Lonchura striata: one gene and its partners. The protein of the gene in region 3 interacts with the protein of the main gene of each other region in a pairwise test. Links are inferred from orthologs where the notes say so. Each region holds a gene or a part of one and is shown on either strand. Other genes may lie near its edges.

The links.
Region 1: the proteins of PIAS2 (region 3) and NAV2 interact in binary tests that used the Homo sapiens proteins (3 or more experiments, as listed by UniProt). The two-hybrid records come from large-scale screens. The link is inferred for Lonchura striata from reciprocal best matches to the Homo sapiens genes PIAS2 and NAV2.
Region 2: the proteins of PIAS2 (region 3) and CCNDBP1 interact in binary tests that used the Homo sapiens proteins (3 or more experiments, as listed by UniProt). The two-hybrid records come from large-scale screens. The link is inferred for Lonchura striata from reciprocal best matches to the Homo sapiens genes PIAS2 and CCNDBP1.

The regions. Positions count from the first base shown.
Region 1 is NC_134608.1:57,024,873-57,032,628, reverse strand, and holds the start of NAV2 (neuron navigator 2), read left to right. Parts: upstream 1-4,664; 5' UTR 4,665-5,465; coding exon 5,466-5,723; intron 5,724-7,756. UniProt on the Homo sapiens protein: Possesses 3' to 5' helicase activity and exonuclease activity. Involved in neuronal development, specifically in the development of different sensory organs.
Region 2 is NC_134619.1:8,496,946-8,504,636, reverse strand, and holds the start of CCNDBP1 (cyclin-D1-binding protein 1), read right to left. Parts: upstream 3,002-7,691; 5' UTR 2,951-3,001; coding exon 2,884-2,950; intron 2,787-2,883; coding exon 2,727-2,786; intron 2,062-2,726; coding exon 1,982-2,061; intron 1,381-1,981; coding exon 1,299-1,380; intron 852-1,298; coding exon 755-851; intron 501-754; coding exon 427-500; intron 130-426; coding exon 53-129; intron 1-52. Other genes in the region: ZNFX1 (NFX1-type zinc finger-containing protein 1), read right to left, coding at 3,705-6,134. UniProt on the Homo sapiens protein: May negatively regulate cell cycle progression. May act at least in part via inhibition of the cyclin-D1/CDK4 complex, thereby preventing phosphorylation of RB1 and blocking E2F-dependent transcription.
Region 3 is NC_134642.1:2,609,277-2,617,339, forward strand, and holds the start of PIAS2 (E3 SUMO-protein ligase PIAS2), read left to right. Parts: upstream 1-5,047; 5' UTR 5,048-5,136; coding exon 5,137-5,160; intron 5,161-8,063. UniProt on the Homo sapiens protein: Functions as an E3-type small ubiquitin-like modifier (SUMO) ligase, stabilizing the interaction between UBE2I and the substrate, and as a SUMO-tethering factor.

The DNA of each region.
Region 1 (7,756 bases), on a different chromosome or scaffold from region 3:
GAACATGCCCCCAGTCTATAGGACAGCTGCCTGGCAGCAGTAAAGCTTGATGAGAATGGCTTTGAGAGAATAATTAAACCCTCTGATTCTGACACTGTGTGGTGACATTTGAGGAATATTCACCTCGGCTTGAAATGATTTTTCTGGGAGATTGCAGATCCATCCTTAATGCCTGAAAGCTGAGGATAGAGTTGATCAAGGTGTTTTCAAGCCTTGAGTTCAGTTCCATCAGCAGTTCTGAATCACCAGACCAGCTAATGAGGTGTTCTAATTGGTAGCATAATTCTACATGGTTTTTCCATTTACGCTAATGTAACATTTGGCTTTGTTGAGGATGTATATTAACCACAAGTTGAAAGGAAGGTCTGATTTTCTGATCTTTTGCAATATTTCATCAAGCTTTTAATTTTACTTGCAATACCCACATGCAATTCATTCAGACATTTTCTTTCCACTTGGGTTTAGAGACCCTGTTTTGTTGTTAACTGATAATGTGTGGGCTGTGGAGGCAGCTTCAATGGTTTTGCTGTTCCAGAAACGTTCATCTCATTCATAAAGATCATCTGTTCAAGAGCAGTCAACCCTGGGCTTTTGTTCTCTTTATGGGCTTTGTTTTGGGCAATGTGCTGACTTGCCTGCAAGCTCTTGAACTACAGGGCATTCAAACAGTTTCCTCTGGTGTTCTGTTCTGGTTAAGTTCTGGAGTTCACATGAGCCTGCTCACTAAAATTTTGAGAGTATTAAGCCAGTTCTCAACACCAGAGTCTTGGCACTTGAGCTGACACTCCATGGTGCTGAGCAGTCACAGCTTGAGCCCCAAGCAGGGATACTTTCTGAGCTTCAAAATCAGCTGTGTAAGCCAAATCAGTAGGGTTTCTTGTGGTTTCATTGTGATGGGTTGTTTTTTCTAACAGGGAAATGCTTGTTTACAGCATTTCCCTTCCATATTCCCCCATTTGGGGAGTGAGTGGATGCTCCCTCGACTACAGGCAGATAAGGAGGGGATGTTGTAGTTATTCAGGCAAAGATACTCATCAGACTTAAAGCTGCAAGGGAATTTCTCCTAGTCACAGGCTTACTCAACATTTCTGGGAAGGAATGAAGCTCTTGCTTTTTGTTTAGGTAATTTGCCTCCTTTTTAAGGTTACTTACTCCTACCTTAGACACAGAAATCTGGGTGATCCAAAACAGGGAAGGGAAAACTGGTTGGGCTTTTCAAAGAAGATAAGAGACAGGTTCCCAAATCCCTTTGACTGTCCAAGAGAAGTAGTTTCTTTTAAAAATCCTAGCCTTAAAAACAGATAAAAAGTAATTTATTAAGCAAAAACAACAACAACAATCCAAAACCAAAGCAAAACAAAAAACCGGGACAACCCAAAAACTTGTCAATTCCAAAGTCAGACCAAAGTTGATGTTGCCAGTCTTTGCAGATAAAGCCTGTAATGTGATATAACTTATGATCTCATGTAACTGCACTGCCACTGGATACAGCAGCTTGCATTTCAGTGCCATTATGCTGTGATGTTTAGATATATAAAGCAAAATATGTATAACATAAAAGCTCCCCCAGGTTTTAGATGACAAAGGATTGTTAGGTGCAAACTGACTCCATGAGAGAAACAGTAATTCTAGGTCACTCTTCAAATCTATTATCAGGAATTCACATTAAGCTTTGATGAGGAATGTGTCCACTGATTTGGCAAAATGTCTGTCAGGATCATAGACTGAGTGTATTCAGAAGAAATCCTATTCAGTAGGCTGGACTGTATGCTGAGAATAAGTAAAACTCCTTTGAGTGTCCAAAGGAGCTGTGGAGTATCCAATCTGCCATTGTCAAAGGATCAGATTCCATGATTGTTAAGGGAGCAACGAAAGGAATCCTTTTCTTTTGGTCAAATTAACTTTGTGGCTGGTTTGGTGTCCCATACCCTAGCCAGTTTTCCAAGATAAAAACAGAACAACAAAAACAGGCAAGTCGGGTGCAGCAGGGATTGGTGGCCCGGACCTCATAAAATGTGTAAGTGAAGAACAGAACGTAAAGCTGTCAGTTAGATCTTCTAATAGCTTTTAAACCTTACTATATTTTATTACAGATCTAAAATTAGCCTCGTTTTCAGGCCTGGATCTTTTTCAAGATGTTCATACTGGAGCCCAACCTTCTCTAAGCCAACAGGGTTGAGTTCTCAGCATGGAACGATGGAAATGGTGTTGGAGCAGTTGACACATTTCTGCTCCAAGGACTACCAGTCCTCTCAGATGGTAAATTTACATTCTTTATCGAATTGTAGGGTTTTGAAATGTTCTATATAGCTGTGTTTAAGCTGTCATTGTGGACAGTTATGGCAGAAGATTTGTCTTGGTGGGATCTCAGTGGATGATGAGGCATGTGTGCTTTCCCATCTGAAATTGGTGGATAAAGAGATTGAGGTGGAAGCAGTTACTTAAAAAAACAGCTACCATAAATTTACCCTTTTGTAGTTACTACACAACAGCCTGCAGAAGTGGTACATGTGAAAGCAGTGTGCTGAAAAATCCCAGCAACAGCCAAGACTGAGCACGTGAGCTTTATGTGGGAACTTGAATTACATTTTACATTGCAGTGTTGAGGAAGAATAGTACCTGATAATAAGTAGAGCACAATTTCTGACTTTAGTTTTTAGTACTGCCACTTAGTCACTGTGTAACCTTGGGTAAGTTATTGAGGATGACATCTGCAGAAGGATCCAGCAATGCTGCCTTTCAAACTGGAGACACCTACAATACAATCCAAGAAATGCCTTTTTTCTGCCTGAAAGAGTCTCAGATCTAAAAACCTGAGGTTTACACATTTAAAACTTCCTGAAAAGATTGTGTGTTAAAGAGGCAGGTCCCAGCTCCCCTTGCCATGAGTGATTGAACGTGAATGAGCCGTCCTTCCCCAAGCACTGCTTGCAGCCTAGATGGGGCAAGGGCAGTGGGGCTGGGCTTCCTCTGTCCTGCTGAGTTTCTGCACCCAGTGTGTATTTCAAATATTTCAAGTGTAGGTTCATTGTTTCCCTGGATGCCCCATGCCTGGAAGTGTTCAGGGCTGGTTTGGATGGGGGTTTGAGCAACCTGGACTAGTGGAAGATGCCCCTGCCCATGGCAGGGGGTTGGAACTTTTAATCTTAACCTAAACCACTCTCTTTGTGCTAGGATCAATCTTTTCCTTGCCACCCAGGCAGTGGCTTAGGGGTTCATTACTTGGGGAATGGATGAGGTGGGAATAAGGAGTTGAAGGAAGCAGCCCTACTAGGAAAATAAAGTAATTAACTGGAACTGTGATGAAGATTTGATTGAAATGCACCTTTTGCTTCCATGTCTCATGTTGGCTTTGTGAATATTATTCTGAGGCACCCTCCTATAATTATAGAATTGTTAAGGTTGGAAAAGACCTCCAAGATCATCAAATGCAACTGTTAACCCAGCACTGCCATACTCTCACTAAACCATGTCCTCAGGTGCCATATCCATGTGTTTTGTGAACACTTCCCTGAGCAGCTTATTCTAGTGCCTGACAATCCCTTCAGTAAAGAATTTTTTTCTAATATCCCATCTGAACCTGCCTCAAGTGGTGCCACAGTCATTTCCTCTCCTCCTGTCACTTGTGGCTTGGGAGCAGAGCCTGACTCCCACCCGACTGCAATCTCCTCCCAGGGAGTTGTCGAGAGCCAGAGGGTCCCAGCTGAGCATCCTTTTCTCCAGGCTGAGCCCTCCCAGCTCCCTCAGCCACTTCTCATCAGACTCGTGCTCCATTCCCTGCTTCATTCCCTTCTCTGGACTCACTCCAACCCCTCAGTGTCTTTCTTGTAGTGAGGGATAAGTCAAAGCCTTGGCTGGCCACTGTGGCATTGTATGTCCTGGTGCTGGGCAGTCTCGAAGGCATCGCTTGGTGCCGTGATTCCCAGAGGGATGATCAACCTCCCGCTGTCCTGCAGGTGTGGCAGGAAGGGAATAATGCACCTCTGGAATGCCACAGGATGAACAGGAACGCGGGCTCCGGGGCTCGGAACGGGTCCTGGCATCCACCGAGCGGCGTGAGGCGGAACCTGCGGCACTGAGAGCCTCCCCAAAGCCAAGTGTTGCTATAACAGGGCCGTATTACTCACTGTGCTTATTCAAATTCCTGTTGATGCTGGCAGCGGCAGTTTTTTTCCCGAACGGCCACGAACAATAAGTCACTTCCAGGTGTTTTGATTTGAATTTTTTTTTTTTTTTTTTTTTAAATTTCAAAAAGAAACCGGTCCCCGGCTCGCTCCGTGCCGCGCCTCCGGAGCATCCATCCATCCATCCCTCCAGATCCCTCCTCCCCACAGGTCTCCCTGCTCGCCGCGGGAGCCGCTCCTCCCCCTGCGGAGAGAGGGAGCGATTTCTTGAGTATTTATTTATTTATTTAATTTTTTTTGTGTGTGTGTGTGTTGCTGCTCGGAGCGGGCAGGACCAATCCGGGGCCCGCCCTGCCCGCTCGGTGCCGGGCAGCCGCCGCCTCCCGCCCGCCCGGCTGGTCCCGGCCCCCCCGGGATGCTCCGGGAGCCCGCTCCACTGCGGGAGGGAGCATGAGCTGCATCGGCTGCCGGCTGCTTTCCCTTCCCTCTCGCTGCTGAATCGCTTTCATTTTTAATCTCTTTTTTTCTTCTTTTTTTTTTTTTTTTTTTTTTTTTTCCCACCCCTACTCCTCGCCCCGTCCAGGTTTTTATGCTCAGCACTAGGGGAGCCGGGAAATTTTGTGGCCGCTGACATATTTTGGTTTAAAAATCGCTGTCAGTGGACGTTTCTCCTTCTGCTCCGGCATCGTTGTCCTGTTCACAGCTATTTAGGCTTAAGAAGCTTGATTCACTAAGGCTTGTATCCAAGGGCATCAGTCATTAACACACTGAGCTACATCTGCTTCTTGGCTAAGACTGAAGAAGGACATCTTAAGCTGGAAATCCTGCTCGCTCACTCTCTAGTGCGTACGGAAGGGGAAGCATATGCAGCAGCAGGTTCCTTTTTTTTTTTTTTTTTTTTCCCCCAAAGGCTGCCTCACTTTGAAGATGCGGTGACAAGATAATGGAGTGAAAGTCTTTCATTTCCAGGCAAGAAAATTGCAGGAGTCAGAGAGAGGAAGGAGCAAGTTACATAGCAGAAATAGGAAAGAGGACAGTGGTAAAGAACTGAAAATAAAATTAGAGGAAACAGGTGGAAGGCTGGCATAAAGCTGAGAAATATTTTAGACTGAAAGTGGTGTGTTTTTTCTTCTTTTTCTCTTTTTTCCTTTCTCTTTTTTATTTTTTTTAATTGGTTTTATTGTAGATTTTAAATTCTAAGCTGATTTTGGAGATCTCTGCAGTAACCAGGCTGCTTTACAGCAGAACAGCTTCCCCAGCGTGTCATTTTCTCTCTCCCTGCCTGCTGTCTCTGCTGTTGCTGCTGCTGACAGAAACGTGTTAGGAAAGCAGAAAGAGAAAATGCCAGCCATCCTGGTAGCCTCCAAAATGAAATCGGGACTACCTAAACCCGTACACAGCGCTGCTCCAATCCTGCATGTCCCAACGGCCAGGACCATCCCACAGCCCTGTTACCTGAAGTTTGGGAACAAGGTGGAGGTGACGAAGCCATTGTATTCCAGCCAGATTCCTCTCAAATCTTCCAATGGACAAGAAAACGCAGGAGACGGCCTCCCAGCAAGGAAGAGTAGCTCGGTAGAAAACGGATTTGACACACAGGTTAGCAGGCACCAAATGCTGGGGAGGTGTATGTGAGGATTTATTTCTGTGTTGAGAGTGTGCAGCAGGTTTTCTAGGGTAAATAGCATGGAATTGCGAGGAAGGGATGTGTGTGTGTGCCAACATCTGTCTGCAGCGGTGGGATGTTTTATATTCCACACAGTGGCATGTGTGATTCTGTCAGCATGATGGAGCTGGTGGTGGGGTGCTGAGGGATGGGGCTGCATGTGCTGCTTGCCCGTGCTGCCTTCTCCATCATCTCTGCTTGAACTGGGGGGGATTTACAGGAGGGAGATGGTGGAGATGTTGTTTGTGGGGTGTGTTCTTTGTGTGCTTTCTGTAGGTGCTAAGCGTAAGGGCTGGCTCGTGTGCCTGGGCTGGGGGAGGATTGCTGGTTGTCACAAATGGGTTTTGTGTTTGGTCATGTACTGTACCGCAGCACTAGTTGTGTGAATGTTCTGTGTTTGTAGCTGTGTGGGGAGTGAATGGGAGGCAGTGCTTGATGCTAGATTACAATATGCATGTCATTCAGTGCAGTTAAATTAAACAGATTATGTAGGAAAGCAACACTTAAGTGGAATTGCCTGTATAATGCTATATGTGCACGACATCATAGATGCAGCACATCATCAATGCACACATTTTAGGTTTCCATTTAATCTGTGTCAGCCTTCTAATGTATTTTTATATGTGCTGCTTGCTGTAGAGGGAGGAGAGATGCCCATTGCTCAGCTGGCTTAATTTCTGTGGGCAGGGTGAGGTTGGCAGCGTGGCTGGGGCTGCCCTGCACTGCCCTGCCCTGGTGAGCTCCGCAGCAGCGTGGGCACAGCAGCAGCGTGGGCACAGCGTGTGTGTGACCGTGCCACGGAGGGAGCAGAGCAGAGGGGCTGCTGCAGCAGCCACAACTGATTGCTGTGCTCCAGAGATGGCTGTACAGCCCTGGCATGTATTTTGGCAGCAGCTCTATGCGTTACACGCTGCTGCCGCCAATGTCTGAGCCGGTGGAAGGTGATACCATTATGCAGAGAGAGGGAAGTGATGGCAGAGACTCCCCTGGTTTTTTTCCTTCTTTGAGGAATAATGGATCATCCCTACCACCTCGATTCTGAAATCTGTGGCCTGGTAACCCTGTTCCCTTCAGACAAGTGTGCCAACTGATTGGGCACGTTTGACCGCGTGCCCTGATTTCGGGATATGCTGCGCTTTCCTTGCTGGTAGACAGGGTGACTATGGGGCTGCTCAGGCCAGACAGATGCAGCTGGAGCAGTTCCTGAGGGACTGAGAGCAGGAAAAGGAGACAGCCAAGCATGGATCCAGGCTAGTGTCAGCAGACAGACCAACCTGTCTGCCCTTACAAGATAATCAATTGCTCTCTCTCACTTGTGCCCGAGTCTATCCTTGTGATTATGAAACGTCAGCAAAATCTCTTTATTTGCTGCCCTTTCTCTCACACATGCCATGGTTTCTGCATGGAAATCTATATTGCTGGAAAAGTGGTTGTTATTCAGAAATACTTTCGCCTCTTTTAACAGATCATGCTCCCAGAGATCTGCCAGTGGGAGCTGTTTGCAGCACTATGGTGGTTTTAACCCTTACAAGGATGTGGAACAAACCCCATTTTTTGTAGCCTGATGATGAAAGGGTCTTGATGCTAACTTGTTATATGTGAACAGGGAAAGATTTTGGCTAAGGAAATGTCAGATAATTTTACATTTTTAATTTCTTCAGCAGCAGGAAAAATCTTAAGCTTTGCATTCTCAGTAACCTCCTCTGGCTGGCAGTCTGAGCAGATGACCAGCACCTTTTAAGGTGTGACAGTGAGGCTTTTTTCACACAGTCATTTTTTTGTTATTCAGCAGTTTTGTTGATCCAGCTTTGTTCCTTCTGCCCACAAAAGCATGCAGGGTTTTGCTATTCAAGGTGGTCATTTGGAATGGCAGTTTATATCTAGAGGGAGATTTTTCCAGATGTGTTCTGTCAAGGGCACTGTTCGTTCCCTTTCCTACTGTTCCTCCCTGCCAAGGGAGGAGGAA
Region 2 (7,691 bases), on a different chromosome or scaffold from region 3:
AGTCTATGAATCCACCACTGCAGGTTCCTCTAAGGCTTAGGGGCCTCCTTACTTGTTCCATCTCCTCCACAGCATCCTTGACCACACCTAGACATGAAGTCAGAGCTGACACAACTGCTGCCTGGTTATCTGCAAAAGCAAAAGGACAAAAACTGTGGCACCTCACTGTTTCCAGTCAGTGTGCAACAACCTCCATCTAGGCTTGCAATCACTGTAGGATCAAACTTCTTGCAGAGCTCAGAGCTGCACTGTTGTCAGGCAAATAATCTGACCTGGTTTCCAAGCTTATACATTTCAAAACCAGTCAGGTTTTTGAGTTATTCTGCATTCAGCCTTCATTGTACCAGCTGGAATGTCCTTGCAAAAGCTACTGATGTTCCAAGACAATACGTCCTAGTGCTATTGCTCTGCATTTACAACACTCACCTCGTGGCAGGTTAGACACTTGCTCACAGGCCTCCCACACACCTCCAGTTGATATTAGCTGTTCCTGAGACAAGCTGAAATGAAACAAAACAAAACCCTCAAGGTTAGAGTCAATAACAGCATTGTGCTAGACTGTGGTTAAATTTTCTGATGATAAACACCAGCAAAAGTTCTGCTGCAAAGACGTCACCAACCAGCTTATCACTAGTATGGCATGTCCGTGTAAAGGTCTTGCTGCTTCCTAACAAGCATATTTGCAACTTTTTCTTGCCCTTTTTCCCAAAAATTTAAAAAAAAATCACAGAACCATGCAATTGAAAATTACAACCTCTCCACTGGAGCATTGAGAATTGTGTCTGTGAGTTGGATCATCCCTTCCACTACTTCAGTGGTAGCATCTCGAACCATCTTCCGAAGAGTAGTACCTGGTTGAGATTGAGAAAGAGCAAGAAAGTTGGCACAAAGTCAGCACTGGCAGGAAGCAAGTGCTGAGGATGAACACACAGACTGCTCTGTTTGTGTGGATACACTGTATAAATGAAGTCATTTGAAGAAAGGAAAATGCTTCCCAGTTCCAAAAAAAACTCTGGACAAGGATTTCGACACTGCATGAACTTCAATGCTCAGTCAACTACACAACTTCCTACATTATCACTCTCCCACAGATGGAAAACTGCAGCAGCAGACAGACAAGTACCTCACTCATAAACACGTTCAAAGTCTACAGAACAGCTGATAATGGGATACCATGCTAACGAAAACTTGCTGATTCCAGAACTCGTTAGCTCTGAAACACTCAGTTTTTCTACATAGTGGTGGTCAAAGAACCACCATCCTATACAGCAGTGACTGCCTTGCTGTCATTATCTCACCTTGGCCCTTGGGTAGCCAGTAATACACCGTGGCTACTGCAAGGATGGCATTTTGGACATCCTCACTCAGCTTCCGGCAGTTCTGAAAATGGAGAGGCAAAAGGATCACCCATGAGTAACACACATCTGCACCACATTTAGAAATCCTCACAAACAATCACTGGCTTTCAGACTGCTCCGAGAAAAGGGAAAATAACAACGGCCAGTCTGCTTGAGAAACAAACACAGCACGAAAAAAAGACACCATAAGCAAGCTGTATGCATCTCAACCTGCCTCATGATTTAGTAACAAAACACTCCTGCTGTGGTGGTTATTCATCAGAGAAGAAAAAGTAACTTAGATCATTACTCTGAATGAAGGTATTTTCTTCTCTCTCCTCCAAACACCTGTATGATAAACTTCTCTCCACTGATAGCAAAAATATTGCATATTCTTTGTTAAACCTAAGGTCTGTATTCTCCAATAATCTATCTCCATCAACAATGAGCTGTAGCTGTGAAAGAATACAAGAACATTTTTATTTAGTATATTTCCCTACCTTAGAGAAATTTGTTCTCTGGGCAGTTATTGGATTCTATCAATACCCTCTACAGTACACAACCCATTTAGTCAAATGAATCAAGAAATACCTGAAGCTTGCAAACACACTGCAATTTCACAGTCTGTCGAGGCTTTCTCTCACCTCTGCAGAAGGTAGTGGAGGCCTTGAGAATGCCAGACTCAGCTTTGTAGCTTCCTGTGATGTTACTTGGAATGTCTGACCTAAAAAAATCCAATGGGAGCAAAAGAAGAGAAAGAAACTCAGGTAAAAGATAAAAGAACAGAGCAGCTTGATGAGCAGCACCTCTGATCCTACTACTTGCTTACCATTACACCTAAGCCATACAAAAACATAAACCACAAAGAAAAATTCCCTGGTGCATTTGTGCCATGCATGTTGCTTGTGTCCTGTGTCTGCTTTTTCTCACTTGGCTGGTAGTGATAGCCAGAAGCCCAATCTGCATCCTGGTTCATGACCTCTTCACCAGGATGTGCCAGGAGGCTATAACAGAGACCTTTATAAATCTTGTATGAAAAGTTCAATACCGGCCTTTGCTTTGCCACACCTTGGAGCGCTTGGTGAGCAGAGTTAGTGGTCAGGCACTGGAATAGGCTGGCCTCGGAGGTGATGGAGTCACTAACCCTGGGGATATTTAGGAGGCTGACGTGGTTTAGGGCTTACAGACATAGCGCTGGGTTAACGGTTGGACTTGATCTTAAAGCTCTGTCTCTTCCAGCCTTGCCCATTCCGTGACTCCGCGAGCGGAGGGCACGCCCCACAGCTGCAGACCCGCCGGGGACAGCGGCCCTACCGCGGAGCGGCGCCGCGGGTACCCGGCCCCGGCCCCCACCGAGTCCCGGCCCGGCCCGGCCGCCCCCGCCCGTACCTAGCGCGTCCCAGAAGCGCGGCAGCTCGAACGGCTCTCGGCCCTCGCCCGGCTCTCCCTCTGCAACGGCACAGACACAGCTCAGCCCGCGGGGAGCCGGCCCGGCTCGGCCCGACCCCCGCCCGGCCCCGGCCCCGGCCCCGGCCCCGGCCCGCACCTCGCAGCCGCGCCAGCACCGCCCGCAGCGCCCCGCGCACGTCCCGCAGCGGCTCCCGCGCTTCCATCGCTGCGGGCCGGCCCCGGAGCGGCCCCGGAGCGGGCAGCGCGTCACGTCCGCTCCGGGAGCGGCTGGAGCGGCCCCACGGAGAGACAGCCCCGCCCCACAGAGAGACCTGCCCCACAGAGCCCCGCCCCACAGAGACAGTCCCGCCCCACAGAGACAGTCCCGCCCCACAGAGAGCCTGCCCCACAGAGCCCCGCCCCACAGAGACAGTCCCGCCCCACAGGGACAGCCCTGCCCCACAGAGAGCCTGCCCCACAGAGCCCCGCCCCACAGAGACAGTCCCGCCCCACAGAGAGACCTGCCCCACAGAGCCCCGCCCCACAGAGACAGCCCCGCCCCACAGAGAGCCCTGCCCCACAGAGACAGTCCCGCCCCACAGGGACAGTCCCGCCCCACAGAGACAGCCTCGCCCCACAGAGAGCCGAGCCCCACCCCACAGATTCAGCCCCAAAGAGACAGCCCCACCCCACAGAGAGCCCCACCCCACAGATTCAGCCCCACCCCACCCCATAGAGACAGCCCCGCCCCACAGAGAAAGCCCCATAGTGACAGTCCCACCCCAGAGAGACAGCCCCATAGAGACAGACCCACCCCACAGAGACAGCGCAGACCAGTTCGTTTCGATACACACTTTATTACTTGGCAAGCAAACAGGGAAAGCAGCGGGGCTGTGCCCCTGTGTGCGTGTTTGCGGTAAGCAGCGGGGCTGTGCCCCTGTGTGCGTGTTTGCGGTAAGCAGCGGGGCTCACACCGCTCTACATCAGCCGGCGGAGGTCCTCGAAGTTGAGCATGTTGTTGGCCACATCGGACCAGGCTGCATGGGTTGCCCCGTCCATCTCCGGGGCCAGGCTGTTGCTGCTCTCCAGAGTGTGGTTCGCACCACCGATGACTTCATGGCACTCAGGGCATGTACTCCTCTGCATTGCCCCCCCACACTCCCCAATTACATAGATATGGCCATTCTTGCACTTGAACCAGTGGCCACGGGGACAGCCAATAGCACTGACAATCTGCACCCTCTCAGCCTCAGAAATCCCCAGCCCTGACACAGGCAAGCTAGCATTGATCTTCTTCAGGTGAGCCTTCACTGCAGCCTCATCCTCCTCTGTGAATTTCTTTGTCCCTTCCAGGATCTCACGTGCACTGTTAATCTCTGCTGCAATGTCTGTGGACATCATCCTACTTGCTTTGCACCTTTCCAAGAGGCCCAGCAAATAAGTCAGTCTCTGGATCTCAGACTGCAGGTCAGTGAGCTCCTGTTCTGTAAAACTGAAGCGCTGCCTATCCAACCACTTCATCACTTCTTTCAGCCTTTCTATCACCTCACCCTGTTCATTCTCATCAATTTTTTTAATAGAATTAATTAGTTCTGCTACACGTTTGTAGAAATTAAGCAGATTCTCAATTAGTCCAATACTCTTTGCTGAGAGAGCAGAAGATTTTAGCTGGTTTTCCAGCATGACATACTTAGAGAATAGATTACGTTTCAGAAAAACTTCCCGCGCCAGTGCAGCCTGCAGTCTCCGTCTGTTAGACTCAATTTCCTCTGCCGGGCCTTGGATTTTCTGTTTCACCCGTTCTATCTCCTCCACCTGCCTTTTCACACTGCTGCCGTATCTCAGATTCTTTCTGATGGGTGTCTGACACAAAGGGCATACCTTCAGCTTGACGACATCATCATCTTCATCCATATAGTGGTCAAGGCCCAGCGACTCAAAGACATGGCCACAGTCTTCAAGCTGCACAAATCGAGCATTTGGGTCATCCTCAAAGCCAAAAAAGATCTGAGTGAGTTCCTCGTGGTCACAAACAAGGCACTTCTTTGGGCAGGGCTCTCCACACAATCCAACACAGGGATGACCACAGGGCAGCATCTTAGCACAGGGAACATTGCAGCGAGGCCTGTTGCACGGCTCAGAGCAAAGATTGGTACACTGGTAGTGCTGGCACTGCCACTCGCATGGCTCAGCACAAGGAACACAGCTTTCCCAACATTTCTTTTTGCACTTACTGTGGATACAGTAGTTCTGACATTCCTTCTGACAAGGAGGACATTCTGTAGTACAAGGCTCATGACACTTGTGGGAACAGATCAAGACACGCGTGCATGGCCTGACACATGCCATATGAAATCTTCCTCCAAAGCAAGAACCACAGGAACCTGAACACACATGACCACATGCCAGTGTGACAGAACACTTAACGTCACATGTCACACCACCTCTCATCCTCGTCATGCCAGCCATCCAGCAAGAAACTTCCTGCTCATGGCCACATTTCAATGTGATAGTAACCTGTTCAGAACACCACATTTTGCATTGCTTCCCACAGGAACTCTTGCATGTGTGTCCACAGTTTAACTTCTTCTGGCAAGGTTCTAGGCACTCAATTTCCCATGCTGGAATATGGCATGGCACCATCTGTATGTGGCCACACTTAGAAATCGTTTTCTCTACCTTCACCATACATTTTCCACAGGGCTCATAACATGACTTTGGGCAGCGGTGCCCATCTGCACAAAGTACCTTTTGACAAGGCTTCAGGCACTGGTACTTTTTGTGCTCTGGGTCATATGGATGACATACCCTTGTGCAAGCATGCCCACAACTCAACCTAAACTCACAGGGAAGAGTACAGCCTCCTTCCGGGACACTGTTGAAGTCTTCACCTGTAGATACCTTTGTCTTGGTTCCAGGGTGGTTTTGACAGCAAAGCTCCAATGACTGGCCAATGTGACCATTCTTCCCAAGGGTTTCAATGATCTTGTTCCAGAGAGGAACCTTGCCAAGCATTCTCATGTTTCCAATACAATAGAGGCCTTTCTTAGCTCTGGATAATGCCACACATATCCGATTAGGGATCTGCAAGAACCCAGGTCTCCCCTCATTGTTGCTCCGCACCAATGACAGCAGAATAATATCATTCTCCTCTCCCTGGTATTTATCTACCACATGAACCTTCACACCTTGAAAGATCTTTGCTGGCATGAGCTTGCGCAGACAGAAGAGCTGTCCAGTGTAAGTAGTGAGAATGGTGATCTGAGAAGGTTCATAGCCCTGACACAAGAAGTATTTGCAAAGTTCCACTACAAAGTGGGCCTCATGTGGGTTCTGGTGGCTTTTCCCTTCCTGGATTTCTTGTTCAGGAACCTCATGTTCCACAAAGAAGACATTAGTTGAGACACCCTGAAACAAGAGGAAGGATGTCAGAGAGAGAGAATTCTAGTTTCTGTCACCACAACCTGTTTCCATGCTCCTGATTATCCACTGACAAGAGGACTTTTGAGGAGCTGACTACAGTATGCAGTTACTGTGTACTTAGGTAATTTCCTCTCAGATTTCCATAGGTTATTAATCAAATTCCCATTTCAGCTTATTGGTAATATTTTAGTATCCTAATATGAAATCAGTTTCGGATTTTATTCCCTATCTTTCCAGAGATGTTTTTACTGTACATTTCCAGGTTATAGCAAAGAAAACATGAAGTGTTAGTAACTTCTCAAACCATACTCAAGGTGCGAACAGTGTCTTGTTTTGGCCCTGTGAGAAAAAGATACTAAGTTACCAGTACACAGGGCTGAGCACTTGCCTAAAACATGCCTCCTCTGTTGCTGCAATAAAAAGAAGCAGCAAGGAAGATTTCTCCTTCAACAGAATAAACTAGGAATGCTAGGACTCCGGTAGTCACTTACCAGCTCATGATGTGTAGAGTAGACTGCTCACCTGTTTAAAAACTCTATTTGCCCCGAGTTAGTAGGAGCTTTTAATGTTTTACCTATTAACTGGAATTATTTTACCTGTAAGAAATTATTTTTCTGCCTGCCAAAACCCAGAGACTGATTTTAACAGGCAAGAACAGCTTTTGTAGATCAAACACAGATCTCTTGCTTTTCCAAGGTATCCATAAGGGCAAAGTGTCCAGAGGAGCAGAATTTAATTCAGTCATCACTTACATTGGTTATTGTACTAGCTGGAAAAATACAAAGATTCAATTTTGATGCCTTTTGGTATCTGAAGTTTGTTTTAAGGCCAGATAGAACCACAAGATTCTCTAGAATAGATTCTTGTAGCAGAAATGGGGTAAAATTTTGTAGTCTCCCAAGTTGTTATGTCTTTTAGGTGGTATTTTTCTTATTTGTTGGGGTTTTGGTTAGCTGGATTTTGGAAGGGGTTTATTTGGGTTTCTAATTTAGTTAACTAAATTGTCTTCTTCAAAGACTTGATCTGAATTTCAAGATCTACCACTTTTCCAGATAGCTTATTCTGATAATTAAATCTTCACTATTAATTTTCTCTTGTGTGACTTCAGCATTCTGCTATAGTTTGCAGAATGCTTCCTTCATCCAGTTAAAGAACTTATAACTAATTAGTACTGGGTTTTTTTACGAAGACAGACTTACATAGTCTAAGGTTCTGTAATGCTACTGCTGCAACTGCCTCCAGTCTTTCTCCCAGAGTATGGCTTGTGTTTCAGAGATCCAAGGCCATCAGTGTAAAAGTCTAAGCTTGGTTCAGACTTCTGGGAAGTAAGCTGCATAGATTTTCTTTGCAAATGCCCAAATGGAGAAACCAAGGAAAAAGAGTTCCAGCAATCCTGTCACCTATTTTATGTTGGAGTTTCAATATTATCCATTAAGCCTTTCATTTAAGATTTCTTCTTAGCTTTCATGCTCCTACAATTCGTTTGTTCCCCCTTTCATTTTTTACTGTTATTTTAAAGTCATTGGTATTGGATCTATTTCC
Region 3 (8,063 bases):
GCGCCAGTTAGGAGGACAAATGGTGATGCAATTCCCCCCAGGTCAAGCCCCTTCTCTGCAGTCCCTCCTTCAGCACCAGTTGTACTTTGTCCATGAAAATGTGTCTTCAAGGGCTGTTCCCAGCCTTGGCTCCCAGGAAGAACCAAGACAGCACTGGAGCCTTGTATCCCCCGGGGCTTGGAGCTCTGGAATTTGTTGTGTATTTCTGCTTAGGGAAAGGCCATGGAAAAGTACTGGGAAAACTAGCTATTAATACAATAAGTGACAGAGTTACAAATATATGTGTGAAGAATACAGAGAGCATATAAAATTTAAAAGGGCGAAACCCAAACAGCATCACTTTGACAGATTACATCCAAACTCTGTTTTGTCAAACAGCTGCATAGAAAATGCAGATACAATGCAGGCAACATAACTTATTTCTTTACAATAAGCAGAATCAGAGAACCACAGGATAATTGGGTTGGAAGGGACTTTGAAGACCATCCAGTTCCAGTGCCCTGCCTCAGACAGAGACACCTTCCACTAGACCAGGTTTCTCCAAGCCCTGTGCAGCCTAAGCATCCAACTTAGAATATTTTGTCTTATAGCCAGAGCACACATATTTTTTGTCAGCAGCATGATTAAGCGTGTCTTTCAGTCTCTCTGCTTTGACAGCTCTAGACCTCACACAAGAGGTCTGACAACCACTTAAATATTTTTGCCATTCACTCCTAATGTTACCTTAAAAAGGACATGACTGTGGGATATGAGAGATGATGGAGAAGCTTAAGGCTGACCTCATAAAACTCTTTCCTTTAAACACAGGACACACAAAACAAATCTACTTTACACCCAAGTCGCCCCAGCCCCATCCTTGCCTGCCTGTGGTCTATTAGCAGCTGGTTAAGCAGCACAGGAGGGGTTTGATGAGGTGTAATTCCGATAAAAGCAATTGTTGCAATCCTTCGAGCATCTGCAGAGTGGTTTTGTTTGTTGTTTTGGGCCTTTTTTTTTTTTTTTTTTTTTTAACTGTAGTGTTTGTGGAAGACTGGGAGGGTTTATTTGGATGTTCAGATGTCTTTCCGTAGTTAACACAGCTGTGGGAACAGGCAGTGCTTATACAGACATACTGTTCATAGCACAAGAAAGATTACTAGAAAAGGCTGAAACCAGATGGGTTTTTTTCCCTAACAAGCCTCAATTTAGAGGGCAGGTTGCTTAGCACCTAGAGGCTCGTTAAGTGCCCTAATTAGAGCCTACTGGGGAAGATAAAAACCCAGCAACTAACTCAGTGATTTCTGGGAGATAGGAGTATGTAGTGGCTGCTCTGGGGAAGGTCTCATCCTCCAATGGCTGATTCTGGGCCGAGATTTAACACTAATATTGAAAATTCAAAAAATGCCCAAGGAAAGAGCCTAGGAGATGGTTCAGGAGATGCAGCAGCAGGTTTAGTGAGAAGAAAGAGGAGAAGAAGAAAGGGGTTTCGGAGATGGAGGTCCAAGAAGAAGCAGAAGTTTTATATGCCAGAAGAATTTCTGACATTTGAGGTAAGTTTAGTGGAAAAAGAAATAGTGGAAATGTTGAAATTTAGCAAAGATGACTTGGTAGCTGTGGAGTATAAGCCTGGAGTTGATGTGTTTGTGAGAAGTTATTATAAAACAGCAGGATTTTAAAGAACTAGAGCAGGGAGATTAATTCTAGTTACTGGAAAAACAGAAGAGGGAGATTTGAAAGAAATTTTTGTGGGGAGATAATGGAATGTGTAGTACAAAGACTGCGGGAAAGACAGAGGAACACTTCAGTAAAATATTGTGGAAAGCTACTACATAAACTATTATTATCTTATGTATATGAGATATATAAAAATAGCATTTGCTCCTATCCCTGCAGATATTGGGGATAAGATGAATGGAAATGTTGAAAGATGTGGTTATGAAGTGAGAGGTGAGTTGTACACTAGAAAAGAACCGCCTGGCTCTGATGTGAGCTTGAACACTGATGTCCTTCCTGGTGTGTTTGAAGGAAGGAACACTAGAGGGTTTGTTAAAGGAACAAAAGAAGGCTTTGGTCTGGTCATGCTTTAATGATCTAAGAGAGTCTAACCTGCAGCTTGCCCCTTTAGTTTGGTATTGGAGGGAAAAATAAGCATTTGATGGACTTAGGAGTTGAACTCATGCAGTGGTGTGGCAGATGGCATGTTTTATTAGCCTGTCAATTATTGGTTTTGACTAACAGAAGGTGTTTGAAATTAATGAAGTCCTTATGTTTAAATCTTCAGGGGAAAGGGGTGTCATAAGACCAAGCACAAAAGCTGTTAGTGCAGAGGACTAGGTATTTGTGCCTGCAGTGGAAAACTTTGGCACATTTAAGGGTTTATCTTGGAGTAAACAGTAAATAAAAAGGAAAGCCTGTCTTAGCAAGCTGTTGCAAAAGTGCAACTAATGATGTTAGTTATTGAGTTCCTTGGAATCCAGGTCTTACAGTGGCATTAAGTGCCCATAGGTAGCGTGTATGGCAGGGATCAATATCCTGTAGAAAAGGTTCCCTAAAATTGCCTGCCAGCATCCCTCCTTGCAGAGCCTGCTGCTGACGTGGCCTGTCCCTTGGCCCATACGTTACTGTTGAAGTTGCTGCTCTGGATGTGTCAGTCGTACAAAACAAGCTGCCTTTTGGTTAATATGAGCAAATATGTTTTGCATTCCAGGCCTCTTTTATTTTTTTTATCTTCTTGTTTGGGTTATGCTGGCTGCTCGCCTGTTTGTTGGCTGAGTCTTTCCTATTTTTTATTGCAATAAATCGGTAGTTTGCTTTTACAGCCAAGTTGCTGATGAAACTGAATATTGTGAGTAGGTAATTATTGTGACTAGGTAATGATCTCTGGCTGCTTTTGAAAACAATATTCTCGGCTGCACCTCGATGTTTATTTTCCATAAATGTCCTAACATTTACATTCCTTACAGCTGGAAACCCATTATCCAGTTTTTGAGGCTTACTGCTGATGACATTTTCCCTTCATTTTTTATTAATAAAACATGCTACATCATCATTATAACACGAATTATGAGTGCTGTTGATTGGGTGGATAAACTGGGCTGTAAAATCACAAGCTTTCTATTTAATCCACTTCAATTGCAAACTGGAATATGTTCTATTTATTTTATTCTATGATTTCCTAGTTTGGTTGTTTTTTTATTTTTGTTTGGTTGGTTTTTAGTAGAACAACTTAGTTAAAGAGCAGAGTATTAATTCTGGAGGGGAAGAAACATGGCAGGTGTGACCAGATCTGGGCTCCTCAGTACAGGAAAGACAAGGAGTTAATGCAGAATGTCCAGTGGAGGACACAAGGATTATGAAGGGTCTAGAGTAGCCCTTGTGATGAGAGATTGCAAAAACTGGGTATGATTAGCCTAGAGGAGACTGAGAGGGGATCTCAATAATGCAGATAAACATCTCAAAGGATCTAGAGGATAGTGCTGGACTCTTTCAGTGGTGTCCAGCAACCGAATGAGGAGCAATGGCCAAAACTGAAATACAAGAAGTTTCACTTCAGCATGAGGAAGAACATTATTTTGAAGATGGCACAGCTCTGGTAGAGAGGTTCCAGGGTTCCAGGAGTGTCCCTCTGTGAGACATTTGAAACCCACCTGGAGTTCCAGTATGACCTGCTCTGTGTGACCCTGCCTTGTCAGGTCTAGGTGATCTCCAGAAATATATCTATTTTGTCATTCTGTAATCCCTCTGGAATCTTTTCCAGGGCCATTTGAATTCTTCGCACCCTGCAGCTGCTGCACGAACACCGTGTAATTGGGACCGGTATCTATGGACATGTGTGTGTGCACATGGACAAGTTTTCCCTCACAGTTCCCAGTCTGTCCCACTGTGGGGCAGTTTCCTTTCAGGGCTCCCAGTGTGTCTGTACCACTCCAGCCCAGTTTCCCCCAGGATTCCTGGTGTGTCTGTACCACTCCAGCCCAGTTTCCCCCCTGGGTTCCCAGTATGTCTGTACCACTCCAGCCCAGTTTCCCCCAGGATTCCCGGTGTGTCTGTACCACTCCAGCCCAGTTTCCCCATTGTTCCCAGTGTGTCTGTACCGCTCCAGCCCGGTTTCCCCCAGAATTCCCGGTGTGTGTGTACCGCTCCAGCCCCGTTTCCCCCAGGATTCCCGGTGTGTGTGTACCACTCCAGCCCGGTTTCCCCCAGGGTTCCCGGTGTGTCTGTACCGCTCCAGCCCAGTTTCCCCATTGTTCCCAGTGTGTCTGTACCACTCCAGCCCGGTTTCCCCCAGGGTTCCCGGTGTGTGTGCCGCTCCAGCCCGGTTTCCCCCAGTATTCCCGGTGTGTGTACCGCTCCAGCCCGGTTTCCCCCAGGGTTCCCGGTGTGTGTACCGCTCCAGCCCGGTTTCCCCCAGGGTTCCCGGTGTGTGTGCCGCTCCAGCCCGGTTTCCCCCAGGGTTCCCGGTGTGTGTGCCGCTCCAGCCCGGTTTCCCCCAGGGTTCCCGGTGTGTGTACCGCTCCAGCCCGGTTTCCCCCAGGGTTCCCGGTGTGTGTGTACCGCTCCAGCCCGGTTTCCCCCAGAATTCCCGGTGTGTGTGTACCGCTCCAGCCCGGTTTCCCCCAGGATTCCCGGTGTGTGTGTACCGCTCCAGCCCGGTTTCCCCCAGGATTCCCGGTGTGTGTGTACCGCTCCAGCCCGGTTTCCCCCAGGATTCCCGGTGTGTGTGTACCGCTCCAGCCCGGTTTCCCCCAGGATTCCCGGTGTGTGTGTACCGCTCCAGCCCGGTTTCCCCCAGGATTCCCGGTGTGTGTACCGCTCCAGCCCGGTTTCCCCCAGGATTCCCGGTGTGTGTACCGCTCCAGCCCGGTTTCCCCCAGTATTCCCGGTGTGTGTACCGCTCCAGCCCGGTTTCCCCCAGTATTCCCGGTGTGTGTACCGCTCCAGCCCGGTTTCCCCCAGGGTTCCCGGTGTGTGTACCGCTCCAGCCCGGTTTCCCCCAGGATTCCCGGTGTGTGTGCCGCGCCAGCCCGGTTTCCCCGCAGCTCCCCTCGCCCCGCCCCGCCGCCCTTCCCGCCGGACCGCCCTCCCCGTCACGTGCCGGGAGCGCGCTCCGGGTGCACGATGATGGTGGCGGCGGCGCCCGGCGGCGGCGGGTAGAAAATGGCGGATTTCGAGGAGCTGCGGGTGAGGAGGAAGGAGGGAGGGAGGTGGCGGCGGGAGCAAGATGTCGGTGCTGGGGCGTCCGCGCCGTCTGCTCGGGGTGACGGGGAGGGAGGGAAGGAGCGGGCCCGCCCCGACTTGCCGGGGGTCGGCGGGTTCTGCCTGGGGAGACCCTCCCTGTCAGTGCGCGGTTCCCCGTCCCCGCCGCGCGGGCTGTGCTGCCGCTGCCGCCGGGGCGGTTCTTCGCTCGCCTCCCGACATTTTAAAATCCATCTCGGCGCTACCGAGCGGCCCCAGGGCTCGGGCGGCTCCTGCTGGGCCCCGCGCTCCGTGCGGCTGAAGGGAGGGCGGTGAAGAACCACCACTGTTAAAAATGCTGATAGTTGTGGAATCTCTGGAAATCCGTGGACCGCTTTCCAGCCGGGAAAGCTGTGCTTGCCTAGCGTGAAACCCAGTGCCGCTTTTCAGACTTTTTGTCTTCGTGTTCATTATCTTTCATATTGTGGTGGGCTCTCTCTAGCAGATTTGTCGGCGTGGGTGTGTGCGTGCGTGTCCTTTCATTTTGTTAAGGTGTGTACACAAAGAACTGACTGCACAGTCGGTGCTTTTCCTCCTATTTCCTGAATATATATCCGCTCTTAAGCTTTGTGCGGAAGGAGGAGGTTATCTTTCACCAGCGTCCACAGCTGCAGGAGTGGAATTCTTCGTGAGAATTCTGCGTGCAGGCCGCTCCCCCCGACCTGGACTTTGTTAAATGAGGGATTAAAGCCGGGAAAATAGGAGCTACTATGAGCTGGGTTTTAGTGGAGAGGAAGAGCTGGTGTCGGTGTGACCAGTGGGAAACGCTGCAATGGCCAGAATTTCCCATGCTGAGCCTTCTTCCAGCGCTAATACTGGTAGTGCAACTGAGGAGCTCACTTATAAAAATATAGTGGAAAGAACTGTGTTTCTTTGTCTGAAGACAGCAGTGCTCTGTCTCAGTTTTAGGTTTAGGAATTGTTGGCTTATTTTTTTGTGCGTGAGCCTTGTGTTGTTGGGGGTTTTTCCCCCCCCTTGGAATGTGTTTACACATTTTTTTGCTCGGTGTCCTCACTCATTCTCAGCCCTCATTCCAAGGTGTCTCAAAGGGTTTGGCTGAAGCCCCTGTGTAAACTTTGTGACAGTGGTGACTCTTCTTTTATCTCTTCCTCTCCAGTCTTGAGGTGGAGTTGTGATCTGTTTCTCCCGGAACGCTGTCATTGGTTTTCTAGATATCGATAAGTATTGATAATCTCCCTCTGGGCATTAGGTTCCTGAATACCTTTAAAATTGACAAGAAACTGAAGTGCATGGATAGATGTAATGCAGGAAGTATGGAGAGAAAAGGAAGCTGTGTTTCAGGCCGACTGCAGAGCTGCCCTTTCATCATTCAAGAAATGCCACTAGTTTAAAAAAAAAAAAGTCTAAAGACATATCTGTTGATATTCCCATTCATCTTATTTGTAAACAGGAGTGCTTGTGAGATGAATCCGTTAGCCTGGAGCTTCTTTAAATGTTCAGTATCTGTCTGATAATAATTCATGGACTGTTGTGGGAAAGCTCTAGGTAATTTTTGGAAGAGAATGTAATTGCCTCATGTCTGCAAGGCCATGGCTGAATTTTTCCTTTTTTCTTTTCACATTTGAGGATGCATTTGAATGTGTCTGCTTGAATATCAGATAGTTGGTTTTGAGGCTGACATTTTTTTTCAGACTACCAAATCTTCCTGCTTTTCACCAAAAATGAGAGAGATTCCCCCACCCCTGGTAGATTTTGTGAATTAACCTTTAGGTGTGATCTGAAATGGCTGCCTTATAGATTAACCGACTGAATGTTTTTATAGCAGTATTGTTTGCTGCTCTCCTGATGATTGCAGTTTCCTGTAGCATATCATCTCTACCTGCTATATAAAAGACCACTTGGGCCATTTTGAGAGCAGAATTTTAGTAATTTGTTAAAGACTGTCTAAAGGTAGGAGATCAGAGTCCTCTCTTAAACACTGTTTCCTGAGGGAAGCATGCAGGCGCAGCATTTTTTTTTTTTTTTTCAGGGCAAAGGAACATTTTAATATTTGTTAGGACTATCCCTGGCATCTTCTGGATCTTCACAGTAAAAGTTCTGTGGAGTTGGGACTCCAGGGTTATAACTGAGAGGCTGTAGTGAAAGAAGCCAGACTTCAAGAAACCTGCTGTTACATCAGGCCTTTTGGAAATCTTCAGTTTTGTTAAAGGATTTGCTACTTTTCAAGATACTGGTGAAAATGTCTGGTCTAAGGTTTACTCTTCCAGAGCATGTGATTACTGGTTTCTGGAGCATTAGGGAGTGGCTGAGAATATGTTTTGCCTTTCAGGGGAGCACAACAGTGTCTATTTATGGTTCATTTTGAGATACCATTTCCAGAACTGCTGTTCACAGATGTGTTTTTAAACCTGGCTCGTACCTCTATCCATAATCCCCTCTCCAGAGCAACCCAGTAAATGATGAAGGAATTACTCAGGCACAGGCGGATGTGGAAGAGAATCATCAGTCTGGTGTGGAGGCCAGAGATGACGAGTAGACACATTTTTGAATAGAATTGGCCCAGAAATGGGGAATTACAGCTCCTTGTGAGCACCATCTGTGAGACAACAATTCCAGCTCCCAACAGATTCTGAACTCACCAAGATTTAGCTTGAAGCTTGTTGAATCTCAACAAAATACTGCAGATAAGAGGATCAGTTACATATTATTATTTCATATTCTTGGGTCCATTGTGTTTCTGCTGGCGTCCTGACTCTAAAATGGAAACAAATAATGTGGAGTGCATGCAGTCTTTGAAACAGATCTCTAGTGTAGGTGACAGCATCAGTCTTGTAGTTCGTGTTTAGTCACGTTTTGAAGTAATTTGTTAGTGTCATCTTTGTGGGGCA